3 linked regions of the Canis lupus familiaris genome follow. The protein of the gene in region 1 purifies or fractionates together with the protein of each later gene. This does not show direct contact. Links are inferred from orthologs where the notes say so. Each region holds a gene or a part of one and is shown in the gene's direction. Other genes may lie near its edges. The genes, in order: PRKCZ, LLGL1 and NIPSNAP2.

Region 1 (3,643 bases):
GCTGCCTAGGCTGGTCTCCATGGAAAGGCATGCTGTCAAATTGTTTCTTCAGTTTCTGTGAGATTTTTTTGGTGAGGAAGAGACTTTTTTTTTTAACGCTCAGAAGCATTTGGAGAAAGATTCTGAATACTAGTTGGACCAATAGCCCCACTCTGAGCTCCCAAAGCGTGTGCACTATTCAGAGCCTGAGCCCTCACATGGTCAGTGTGACCTGTGTGCCCTGAGAGCCCTTGAAGGATGAAATGAGACCGCAGAACATAAATCACTTAGCACAGTACCTCACACAAAGGAGGCTCCTAAGAAACAACAAGCCACCCACGTATCCACTCATCCATCCACCCATGCATCCATCCTTCCATCCATCCCCTCTCCCACCCACCTGCACACACTGAGAACAACATCTGGAAGGCTAGACACTGAAATCTGGTGAATAATTACTTCCAGGTGAATCACTGAGGAAAACCCGTCACAATCACAGGTTCCCAAGCTCTGCCCCAGAGGTGTACAGTCAGATGTGGGTGGGACCAAGAAGCACGTTTCCTGAGGCCTCTGGGTGAGGTGTGGCTGCCCGTGGTCCAGCCTGAGCGCGGCTGGCCTAGCTGGGCTGCTGGTGTCTGTGACCAGTGAGGGGCCTCAGGATCCCTGTGTCTCAGGCTGCAGTCCTGACAATGCCTGCAATGTCCACTTTCTTTCTCTCCTCACTAGTTGCTTACATTTCTTCAACCCGGAAACACGACAACATTAAAGATGATTCTGAGGTGAGTCTATGAAATGGCTCATTAGTTTCCAATTTTTTTTTAGAAGTTTGTTAGCTCATTTTTGAGGAAATTATGGAAATTTCAGTATAAACAAGGCAGGTTTGAGAGTTGTCACTCACTGCAGGTGAGGGTGTGGTCTGTGGACCTCAGGTGGCACCGGCCAAGACTTCAGGGCCGAGTGGCACGGAGTCTCCAATATTTAATGCAGAAGGACTCTCCAAGCTATTAGGTGTGGCAGACCTGAGCTGTTGCTGCATCTTAGGTGTGAGGACACAATGTCCGTTGTACTGTTCCTGGCTCTGTACAATTGGAAGATGCAGTGTCCTGGGGCAGGGGACTCACTGACCTCAGAATCTGCTTTTGTCAAGTTGGATAATGACCACACCTTTCTGTGAGTGTACAGAGAGTGTTTGTGTGCATGCCCAGCCACACCTGGCACATAGGGAGCCCTCCGCAACACCCATGGTCGGTGTGGCTCTTCCCACATCAGCACAGGGTGGCCTGGGCTCCCCAGGGGGCTGCAAGGAGAGCCCCGCTTATGTGCTTCGAGAACAGGTAATGAGGCTGCTCCCTGGGGAGTGGGTCACTTGCTTTTTATTGTCTTAATCTCTTGCTTGGCTGCAAGCGTCTGCAGGGCTCCGTGTGGAGGGATCACCTGTCATAGTCTGGCCTTTGTCCTGAGTCGGGCAGGTTTATGGCCAGGTGGGCCAGGGTCAGAGGTATATTGGTGGATGCTCACCAGATTTGCTAGTAACTTGATTCTCCACTCACTCCCAAGGCTCAAATGCCTCCATTTTCTCCAACTACTTTTTGTATCCTGTCACAGGAGGAGTGTCCCATCCCTGGGAAGTTGGTACCTCATGAAGCAACAGGATGCTGCTCCCGCGGTCACTGCCCACCCGGGCCACAGGGCCCTCTAGCTTTGGTGGATGGGGTGTGCAGTATGGAGAGCTTGGTCTGTTGGGGGCAAAGAGGAGAGGGGTATGTGCAGCCCAGGACCTGGCTGCAGAAGGATGGGCTGCTGCCTTGTCGTAGCTCAGTCTTGCTTGGGGCACATCCTCTATGAATCTTCCAGAGGCTGCTCTCTGGGGCCCGGCTGTGGCACCATATCTGCTGTGGGTTTGGTTTCCCCAGCACCCCCTCTGCCCAGATGGTGGAGTGGGTCCAGAGCTGACTCTTGAGCTGCAATTTTTGTGAAATTTTATTTGCATAAAACCCTTCCTTTATTTGTCTTTTGTGCTTTTTCCACATCACTAAGCAATTCTCCAGTGCTTGGGGAACACTGGTCAGGTGCCCTGCAATTCCAGTCAGTCCTGACGCCAACTACCTGGAGCTGGCATTGCTCCCACAGGAGCCTCTCAAGGGCTCAGGCCCATGAGACTGCCCCCCTTCAGGTGCCACTTGCAGGCCAAGTGGTCACCTGTGCTTCTGACCAACCAGCTGTAAATCAGGTTCACATGACCCTTTCAGTGGGTTCTTTTAGTTTGCTTGAGCAACTCACAGAACTCAGAGAAACATCTTGCTTAATAGATTTCTGGTTTATGATAAAAGGATGTAGCTCAGAAAGAACCCAAAGGAAGAGCTGCACAGGGCCAGGGATGGGAAAGGGGACAGAGCTGCTGTACCCTGTCCAGGCTTACCTCCACACGTTCACCCACCTGAAGCTCTCCAGATACTGTCCTTGGGGATTTGTTAGGAGACTTCATAATAGGAGCATGATTGGTTTAGTCATTGGATGGTAGAGAATGGGCTCAATCCCCAGCCCCTCTCGCATCCCTGGAGGTCAGCGGGTGAGACTGAGTTCCAAGCTTCTCACCCTGCAGTTGGTCCCCCTGGCAACCCCTGAGAACCTATCCCCGTCTTTAGGTGGCCTGGAGCTTCTCCAAAGTTGTCTCGTTAAGCATAAACCCTGGGATCGTGATTTGCTCCTTCTGTTCTGGGAAAGCCCTCTGCTGCCTGTTTGTCTTCTTCCCCAGATTTGGACCAAGAGGTTCAGTTTGGCCTTGAATGTGTGGCCAGCTCTGGGTGACAAGTGAGGCATATGAGATTGTTCTCTTGAGTGAGGAAGTCCCACCAGCTGGAGTTTGCAGCCTCTGTCCAGAACTTCAGAACAGCCCTACCTTGCAAGGGCCAAAGCTTTCCCAGAGTAACTGACAAATGTCCCCTGGCTTTTCTACCTGGCCATTCTGTGTCTGGGACATGTCAGCACTTAGTTACCTCCTGCCCACACGAGAAATAGCCTTACTGGAAATAATCCATAGGAGGGAAGCTCCTTTTCCTAATTGGATCATCTTTCTCTTTCATTTTGTGTTTCCAGTAGCCCTTGCTCAGGGCATGGCCAGGCTTTGCAGACATCAGCTATCTAAACTCCATAGCCCCCAGGAGAGCCCTGGGTGGATGGGAGGTTGGCCCTGGGCACCCACCTGCTCATGGAGTGGCCAGGGTCTGAGAATGGTGGGTGTGGGGTGGCTGTGGGGTCAGGGCCGTGAGCAGAACTGCACTCTGAGCTCCAGGGCCCACTCGGGGACATCAGCCTCGCCTGGGAGGAGTCTTGTTATTTTGCACTTTCTCTCCTGTCCTCAGGACCTCAAGCCAGTTATCGATGGGATGGATGGAATCAAAATATCTCAGGGGCTCGGGCTGCAGGATTTTGACCTGATCAGGGTCATTGGGCGTGGGAGCTACGCCAAAGTCCTCCTGGTCCGACTGAAGAAGAACGACCAGATGTATGCCATGAAGGTGGTAAAGAAGGAGCTGGTGCACGATGATGAGGTGAGTGCAGGCGCCGGCTCGAGCTTCCTCTCTGGGGTCTTCATCCTGGCTTCCAGTGCTTCTTTCTTCCAATAGAAGTAAAATGCACGTAACAAAACTCATCATTTTAACCA
Region 2 (3,643 bases), about 16 Mb from region 1:
GGCAGGGGTCTGCCCTGTGGCTGGCCCTACCAGGAGGAGGGGCCCTGGGGGAGGGAGAGGGTCAAGAGCCTTGACCTAGCTGATCCAGGTGCTGCCCTCCCATCTCCATGTGGGGCTGGTGGGCCTCAGAGGGCATGGCACCTCTCCTCCCGGAGCAGGGTGCAGACGCCTACTCCATGGGATGGGTAGGGCTGACTCTGCTGGTACCTTGTGGGTCCTGCTTCTCTCTGTTGCCAGAGCCCTGCACACAGCGGGCCGGACACAGGTGTGAAGGACAAAGCCTTGGCCGGGGGCAGGCCTCTGCCATGTGGATTGGAGGTGTGATCGCCTGTTTTAGAGCTGAGAACACTGAGGCACGGGTCTATTGTGCAGCTCTGCTAGTGTGGAGGCTGCCTTGGGGTGGGCCTCAGGTGGGCGGGGGAGGGGGGCAGTGCCTGTGCCAATGCCCTCCCGCCCCCTGCAGACTGTGGAGCATGGCTTCCCCAACCAGCCCAGCGCCCTGGCCTTCGACTCAGAGCTTCGCATCATGGCCATCGGCACAAGGTCCGGGGCCGTCAAGATGTATCCTTTTCGAACCATGGCCTTCAGGGCCCATCAGGACCTCCTGCTTGCAGCCCCCTGTGTACAGGCTCTTTGGGCCCGGCCCGGCCCTGGAGGCTGCAGTTGGCGCAGGGGTTCTGGTGGAGGTTGGTGTGGCCTCTGCCCTGAGTCTCTTCCTTACAGAAGTGTTTGTGGGGGAGGGGTCAGCTGGCGGTGGTCACAGCTGTCCCTAGCTGCATTTCAGCTAGCCAGTTACCTAGGCAACCCTGCCATCGTCCCAGCAACTGACTGGGGATGCTGGGCCAGGACACTGGTCATACACTGTACCCCCGCAAGGGTGGCTGGTGGGCCAGGGTCTCACAGTGGGCCTGGCTCCAGTGACCAGACACTCGTGTGTGCAAGTGTGAAGACACATGTGTTGAGCCGAGAGGCTGGGGGCCGTGCCAGGCTCAGCATGGTGAGCGCTGCGCGGCCCCCACCTGGGTGCTGGCGGCTGCACAATGGGCCGTGTGAGCCACACAAAGCGGGCATTTTCCTGCAGGCACAGGGTGGGGGGGGGGGTGCTGGAGGGGCAAGCAGGCAGCTGAATGCCTCCCTGCCTGCAGTGGAGAACCCCACCCCTGCTGCTCTCCATGAAGCCCCTTGGGTGGGAAAACCCAGGTGGAGGGCCTGGCTGGGGGCTGCTGGGTGAGGGGTGCTCTCCCTCACTTCTCTGGCTCTCAGTACCCTCGCCAGGGACACTGGTTGGCAGCAAAATGAGTCAGTGCCTGGGGTCTTCCCTCTCCAGGGCAAGGTGGCCCGACAGGGGTGGGTGCCTGGGCCTGTGGTTTGAGTTTGCCTTCTCTGGGGAGTGTGGCTGGACAGGGATGCCCCTCCACTCCCACGGGCCCCTGAGGCCCCAGCGGAGCAGGGAGTGGGGTGGGGAGGGACAGGGCCTGGACCCCCGCCCCTGAGCCCCCACTGGCCCTGGGGGCCGTGCATTGCCTGGCCTCTGCCCGCCCCCACGCTGCAGTCCTGCTCACTCGTGTATATCGTGTTCCTGAAGCCCCTTTCTCCCTGTCAGTGGCTGCTCAGTGCCCTGCGCCCTGCAACTCCGTTAGTCACTGGAGCCATCCCTCCGTGCTCCTTGTGCTCACAAAGAACCTGATGTACTGACCAGGAGACAGCCTCAGAGGAGGAGGCTGGGGCTCTCCTCTCTCCCCTCGTTTCTTCCCCCAAACTACCCTAGCCTGGAGCCTTGGGTTGGGAAACTGAGGCTGGCCCCAGAAGCCACCCCTCCCCCTCAGGGGCAGCCCGTCTCCTTGGCAACCTTGGTTCCCGCCCAGCAGCTCCTGCCCTCTCTTTTGTCCCCTCTTCTGTGTTCTCCTGGCTCCTGCAGGGAATCCCAACTCTGGCTGGAAGCAAGGGCTCCTGTGTTGTTGCCGGGCAACGCTGACCCCTCTCAGCCCTCCCTCCCAAGGCCCCCTGCCTGACCACTGTCCAACCTGGAGCTACTGTGACTCTGGTGCTGGCACCTGGCACTTGAGACAGCTCACCCCTTTCCAAGCCTCTGTGTATTGTCTGTGAAATGGGCAGGCCGAAGCCTCTCCCCGGTCACAGTGGGGGCCACTGGCTGCCTGCCCTGGAGGGAGGTTGGTTTCCTTGTCCATAACTGGAGGTTGACCTGGAGCTGTGGGAAGAGGCAGCCTGGACTCTCTCCTCTGCCCCAGGCTTCTGTGCCCAGGCCTGGCCTGGCCCCTCTGCCTGTGTGCTCCCAACCTGTGGGGCCTAGCTCTTATGCACGTGGGAGCACACACTAGGCTGACACAGAGCGGGACGCTGACCATGTGCCAGGCCTGGGCCAAGTGTGCTAGCTGTTTTTATTCTCACTTGCCCTGCATCAGTCCTACAAGGTGAGAGTGGGGCTCACCAGCCCATCCTACAGATGAGGAAGTGAAGGTCACACAGCAGCACCAACTTGCAGGAGCAGAGCAAAGCCTGCGCTCAGAGCCTGGGGATATCTTGTGGGTACAAGGCAGTGCTTTCTGGAGGAGGGGTCCCATCTGGACCTCAGAAGGCTGGGCTGGCTGGGACCTGTTGGAATGGCTCTTGGGAAGGAGGATCTCCGGTGTCTGCCTCTGTCCTTGACCTGTGCATGCAGCTATGGTGCACCTGGTGTGGAGTTCACTGGCCTACACCGGGACACAGCCACCGTCACCCAGATGCACTTCCTACCCGGCCAGGTGAGCCTCTACCCTTGCCCACTCCCACAGCCCCCACACCCTCCCCACCCCAGCCCAGCCCAGCCCAGGCTCGGTCTCTGCTCATCCCCCAGGGCCGCCTGCTAACTCTGTTGGATGATAGCAGCCTTCACCTCTGGGAGATTGTCCACCACCATGGCTGCGCCCACCTGGAGGAAGCGCTCAGCTTCCAGCCACCTAGTCGGCCGGGCTTTGACAGTGCCAGGTACTGGAGGACTTGACTGGGGACCTGCTGCCGGGCATGGGGGTGTGGAGCCTGCTGGACGTGGTTGGAGCCAGCCTTGCAGAAGCACTGTGGGCACACAAAGCTGCCCCTGTGCTAGAGTTCAGGGTGAAGAGTACATCGAGCTGGGCCCGATCTTGGAGAGATGTGCCACATGGACGTGGCGGGTGTTAAATAGGGGACTCTGGCTGAGTCTGAGGTGAGCACGTAGTGTCCATGCTCCGGCGACCACTGGGGCCTTTTAACGGTTGGGGCTGGGGCAACAGGCCATAGTGTGTGTAGCTGGATGGGCAGGTTTGGGGGCAAGGAGGGTCCCATCAGGCTGTGAAGGTGCCAGCAGGACACTGTAGGGGAGTGGAGTGGGCCTGGCCCCCCGATGGGCATGTCCCTGGCCCTGCTGGCCCTTGCCAAAGCGGTCAGAGTAGCTTCCGGATTTCTATACGGCCTCAGTGGGAGGCTTGTCCTGCCCCTGCTGGGGGCTGGGTGATACCCCCCCCCACATTCAGCTCTCACGGTTGGGGGGAGACTCAGCCAGGGGTGCTGCGCCCACTCCTGCTCCAGGGCTGCTCTTCCAGCATCTGCATTCAGGGTCAGTTGAGCCCTCCTGCAAAGTCAGGGGGTCCTCCGTGGGCTGGTGACT
Region 3 (4,096 bases), on another chromosome or scaffold:
TTCAATTTGCCAACATATAACACCAGTGCTCATCCCATCAAGTGCCCTCCTTAGTGCCTGCGACACAGTTATCCCATTATTCCCATCCACCTCCCCTTCTGCAACCCTTTGTTTCCCAGAGTTAGGAGTCTCTCATGGTTTGTCTCCCTCTCTGATTTTTCGCACTCAGTTCCCCTCCTTTCCCTTATAATCCCTTTCACTATTTCTTATATTCCCCATATAAGTGAAACCATATGATGTTTGTCCTTCTTCGATTGACTTACTTCACTCAGCATAATACCCTCCAGTTCCATCCACGTCGAATCAAATGGTAGGTATTCATCCTTTCTGATGTCTGAGTAATATTCCATTGTATACATATAGCATATCTTCTTTATCCATTCATCTGTCGAAGGACATCAAGCTCCTTACACGGTTTGGCTGTTGTGGACGTTGCTGCTATGAACATTGGGTGCAGGTGTCCTGGGTTTCACTACATCCGTATCTTTGGGGTAAATTCCCAGCAGTGCAATTGCTGGGTGTAGGGTAACTATTTTTAACTCTGAGGAACCTCCACACAGTTTTCCAGAGTGGCTGCACCAGTTCACATTCCCACCTACAGTGCAAGAAGATTCCCCTTCTCCACATCCTCTCCAACATTTGTTGTTTCCTGTCTTGTTATTTTCGTCATTCTCACTGGTGTGAGGTGGTATCTCATTGTGGTTTCGATTTGTATTTCCCTAATAAAAAGCAATGCGGAGCATTTTCTCATGTGCTTGTTGGCCATGTGTATGTCTTTAGAGAAATTTTTGTTCATATCTTCTGCTCATTTCATAACTGGACTTATCAAACTCAGCACCCAAGCAACAAACAATCCAGAACGTTTTTTTTTTTGTTTTTTTTGTTTGTTTGTTTTAAGATCTTATTTATTTATTCATGAGAGACACAGGCAGAGACACAGGCAGAGGGAGAAGCTGGCTCCATGCCGGGAGCCTGACGTGGGACTCGATCCCAGGACCCAGGATCAGGCCCTGGGCCGAAGGCCACGCTAAACCGCTGAGCCGGGCCGGTACTGTACAGTAACGTCTGCTCATATTTCTCCTGCGCAGGCGGGTCACGACACCCAGCTTCTTCCGCAGGGGGCGATGTCCTCTCCTGCTTCGCCGTCAGTTGCCCCTGGCGGCCCCGCCCTCACCCCGGCGGCCCCGCCCCGCCCCGCCCCGCTCGGCGGGCCCCGCCCTCCGCCCCACCCCCGCCTCGGCGGGCCGGCCGGGGGAGGGGTCGCGGTGGTGGCCGTGGGGCGGCGGCGGCGTCGGCGGCGTCAGCGGCGGCCCGCGCGGCGGGAGCCCAGGCGCCAGAGCAAGATGGCGGCGCGAGTCGTGCAGGCCTGCGGAGCGGCCTGGGCCGGCGGCGTCCTGCGGCGGGCCGCTCCCTGCAGCCTGCAGCCTGCGCTCCGGTGAGCAGCGCTGCCCCTCCCGGGACCGGCCGGGGAGTGGCCGCCAGGGCGGAGGGCGCGGGTCCACGGCCCGCTAGCGCTCCCTCGAGCAGGCCCGCCGGGGCAGCGGGGGCCGGGCCGGGCCGGGCGGGCGGGGCGGCTGAGGGCCTCGGCACAGTCAGAGCGCGGTCCCGGCCGTCGTGCTCAAGGTCACGGCGGGGACGGCGCCCGGTGCCCAGGCCACGTCCGCGCGCCGTGTGGGCCTGGCCTGGGGGACCTTGACCCGGCGCGACCCCAGGCCCTGGACTCGGCATCCGGCTGCCCGCGGGCGCCCAGGGCGGGCTGTGCGCAGGGCCTGGGGTCCGCTCTGCGAGGGCGCTGCGGACAGCACGAGCTCCAGGGGGAAGAAGAGCGCCTGCCGGTGAGCCCCGGGAGCGCGGGGCCGTCGCGGGGTGGGCTCGACGCTGCCGGCCGCCGGAGTGGGATGGAGAAGTAGGTGACGGATCAGAAAGGTTTTACAAGGCATCAGCCCCAAGTAGGCCTTGGGTTCAACTTTAAACTTTTTCTAGCCTCTGTGGATTAAATATTCGGCTCTCCTGAATTCATCCCTCTGACACATCCATGTCCTGTTTTCCATCAAAAACCAAGCTCCTACTGACTTACATAGATTTGCTTTCTTGCTTTCTTTACATTTATCATTTAAACGTTATCTGTGGTTTAATAACGAGCCTCTAGAACTAAATTCAGTTGCTGCTTAACGAAAGAGTAAAGGGACTGCCTGTTCTTTAAACTCTTATTATGGGCCAGAGAGTTTATTTAATTTAATCCTAGTACCAATCTTAAGTAACAGGATCTGCATTTTATAGATGAGACGTAATCTCCATGGAGGTGAGACCTCTAGCTGGAAAAGGCATTTGAACTCAAGTTTATCAGGCTTCAGGCCTGGCACCCTTCCTAGGACTGATGTCCAGCTTGAGTTTCCAACTTTTTTTTTAAAGATTTATTTATTTATGATAGACACAGAGAGAGAGAGGCAGGCAGAGACACAGGAGGAGGGAGAAGCAGGCTCCATGCCAGGAGCCTGATGCGGGACTCGATCCCGGGTCTCCAGGATCGCGCCCTGGGCCAAAGGCAGGCGCCAAACCGCGGAGCCACCCAGGGATCCCCCTTGTGTTTCCAAATTTGATGTTTATGTTTCCAAGTTGATGAACAAATCAACCTTTTATTTTCATTCTGTTACTGAGCATCTGCTGTGTGTCTTATTTTTTTTCACACAGGTGATAAGAAACTATGAAATTCATATTTTCTTTTTTCCAAAAAGACCCAGCATATTCACCTATAGATCCCATAGTCACAAAACTAGTAAACTGGAGATTTGGACCTGGGTCTGCCCAGTACCCCCACTTCTTGTGGGGCCAAATGCTCTTGAAACTGAAGCCCAACATGTCAGCTCTTGGATTACTCTCTCAGGCCCCTTGTATCTTTTGACTGCCTTAACTGTAGATGTTCTTTAGGACTCAGTCTAGACCCAATTAATTCACTGCTTCTACAAATACTGAATGTATATGAATGTATATGTTTTTGAAGTTTTGTGGAACTCAGCATAATAGTCACTATGGGTCACTATGCCCAGCAAGCCATATGGCAGAGGTAAAAACCCATACAGACTTAAAGATTGAGGTAGGTGGTGTGAGAGAACCTCAGGGAACCTACCACATGAAATCATGGAAGGCCTCTCCAAGAAGGTGCCGTTGAGCTGAAACCTGAAGGGTCAGTGTGCAGGAAAGCCCTGACTGGGAAGGAGTGAGGCATACCAGCAAGCTCCAGAAAAGCCTAGGAAGGGGAGCATAGTAAAGGGAAGAGAGGCTAGAAGACAGGTGGCAGGGAGCAGTAGCCCCATAATTCCAGGCCTTGCAAGCCATTTTAGAGAGTTTGGAATTTATACTGAAAGCCATGGAAGACATTTAAAGATATAAATTCTAGTGTGACAGGATCTGGCCTGTGTTTTTAACATACCAGTCTGATTTGGAAAGCAGACAGAATCAAGGGTCGTGGCCAACTGGGCAGATGCTGGTGCCATTTCCTGAAAGTCCCTTGTTCTATAGGCATATGAGTGCCCATAATGTGCCAGGTGCTGTTGGGAAATATCAGTGAATAAAGTTGTTGCCATCTGGGAGCTTGCTCCTAATTCAGAGAAGGAAGAACAGGAAGGGGGAATCCAGAGCACTTCTGAACCTGGTAAAGTTGGAGATGGCTGTGAGCTATTCAAATGGAAAGGTATTTGGCCTATTTGATCTTTTTGACTCTTCAAAGGAGATGTCTGGACTACAGGTTACATTTGGGAGTTGTCAGTATATAGGAATGCTAAATGTTGATAGATATGTAGGTTTTGTTATACTGTTTTGCATTTAATTGAAAATCTTCTTAACAAAACATTATTCATAGGAATGGATGAGATTGCTTGAAGAGTGTGGATAGAGAAAGGGCTGAGAGGGATCCCTGGGTGGCGCAGCGGTTTGGCGCCTGCCTTTGGCCCAGGGCGCGATCCTGGAGACCCGGGATCGAATCCCACGTCGGGCTCCCGGTGCATGGAGCCTGCTTCTCCCTCTGCCTGTATCTCTGCCTCTCTCTCTCTCTCTCTCTCTCTCCCCCTCTCCCCCTCTCCGTGTGACTATCATAAAT

What was found.
Region 2: the proteins of PRKCZ (region 1) and LLGL1 purify together in Homo sapiens (affinity purification with mass spectrometry; 6 studies listed by BioGRID and IntAct, counting the BioPlex papers as one, with this or other methods). This does not show direct contact. The link is inferred for Canis lupus familiaris from reciprocal best matches to the Homo sapiens genes PRKCZ and LLGL1.
Region 3: the proteins of PRKCZ (region 1) and NIPSNAP2 purify together in Homo sapiens (affinity purification with mass spectrometry; 3 studies listed by BioGRID and IntAct, counting the BioPlex papers as one, with this or other methods). This does not show direct contact. The link is inferred for Canis lupus familiaris from reciprocal best matches to the Homo sapiens genes PRKCZ and NIPSNAP2.

Annotation. Positions count from the first base shown.
Region 1 is NC_049226.1:57,564,734-57,568,376, forward strand, and holds part of PRKCZ (protein kinase C zeta type), read left to right. Parts: intron 1-705; coding exon 706-758; intron 759-1,168; exon of another isoform or gene 1,169-1,220; coding exon of another isoform or gene 1,221-1,313; intron 1,314-3,341; coding exon 3,342-3,530; intron 3,531-3,643. UniProt on the Homo sapiens protein: Calcium- and diacylglycerol-independent serine/threonine-protein kinase that functions in phosphatidylinositol 3-kinase (PI3K) pathway and mitogen-activated protein (MAP) kinase cascade, and is involved in NF-kappa-B activation, mitogenic signaling, cell proliferation, cell polarity, inflammatory response and maintenance of long-term potentiation (LTP).
Region 2 is NC_049226.1:41,539,840-41,543,482, reverse strand, and holds part of LLGL1 (lethal(2) giant larvae protein homolog 1), read left to right. Parts: intron 1-463; coding exon 464-561; intron 562-2,680; coding exon 2,681-2,762; intron 2,763-2,854; coding exon 2,855-2,985; intron 2,986-3,643. UniProt on the Homo sapiens protein: Cortical cytoskeleton protein found in a complex involved in maintaining cell polarity and epithelial integrity. Involved in the regulation of mitotic spindle orientation, proliferation, differentiation and tissue organization of neuroepithelial cells.
Region 3 is NC_049227.1:362,640-366,735, forward strand, and holds the start of NIPSNAP2 (protein NipSnap homolog 2), read left to right. Parts: upstream 1-1,279; 5' UTR 1,280-1,343; coding exon 1,344-1,435; intron 1,436-1,773; exon of another isoform or gene 1,774-1,898; coding exon of another isoform or gene 1,899-1,906; intron 1,907-4,096. UniProt on the Homo sapiens protein: Protein involved in mitophagy by facilitating recruitment of the autophagy machinery required for clearance of damaged mitochondria.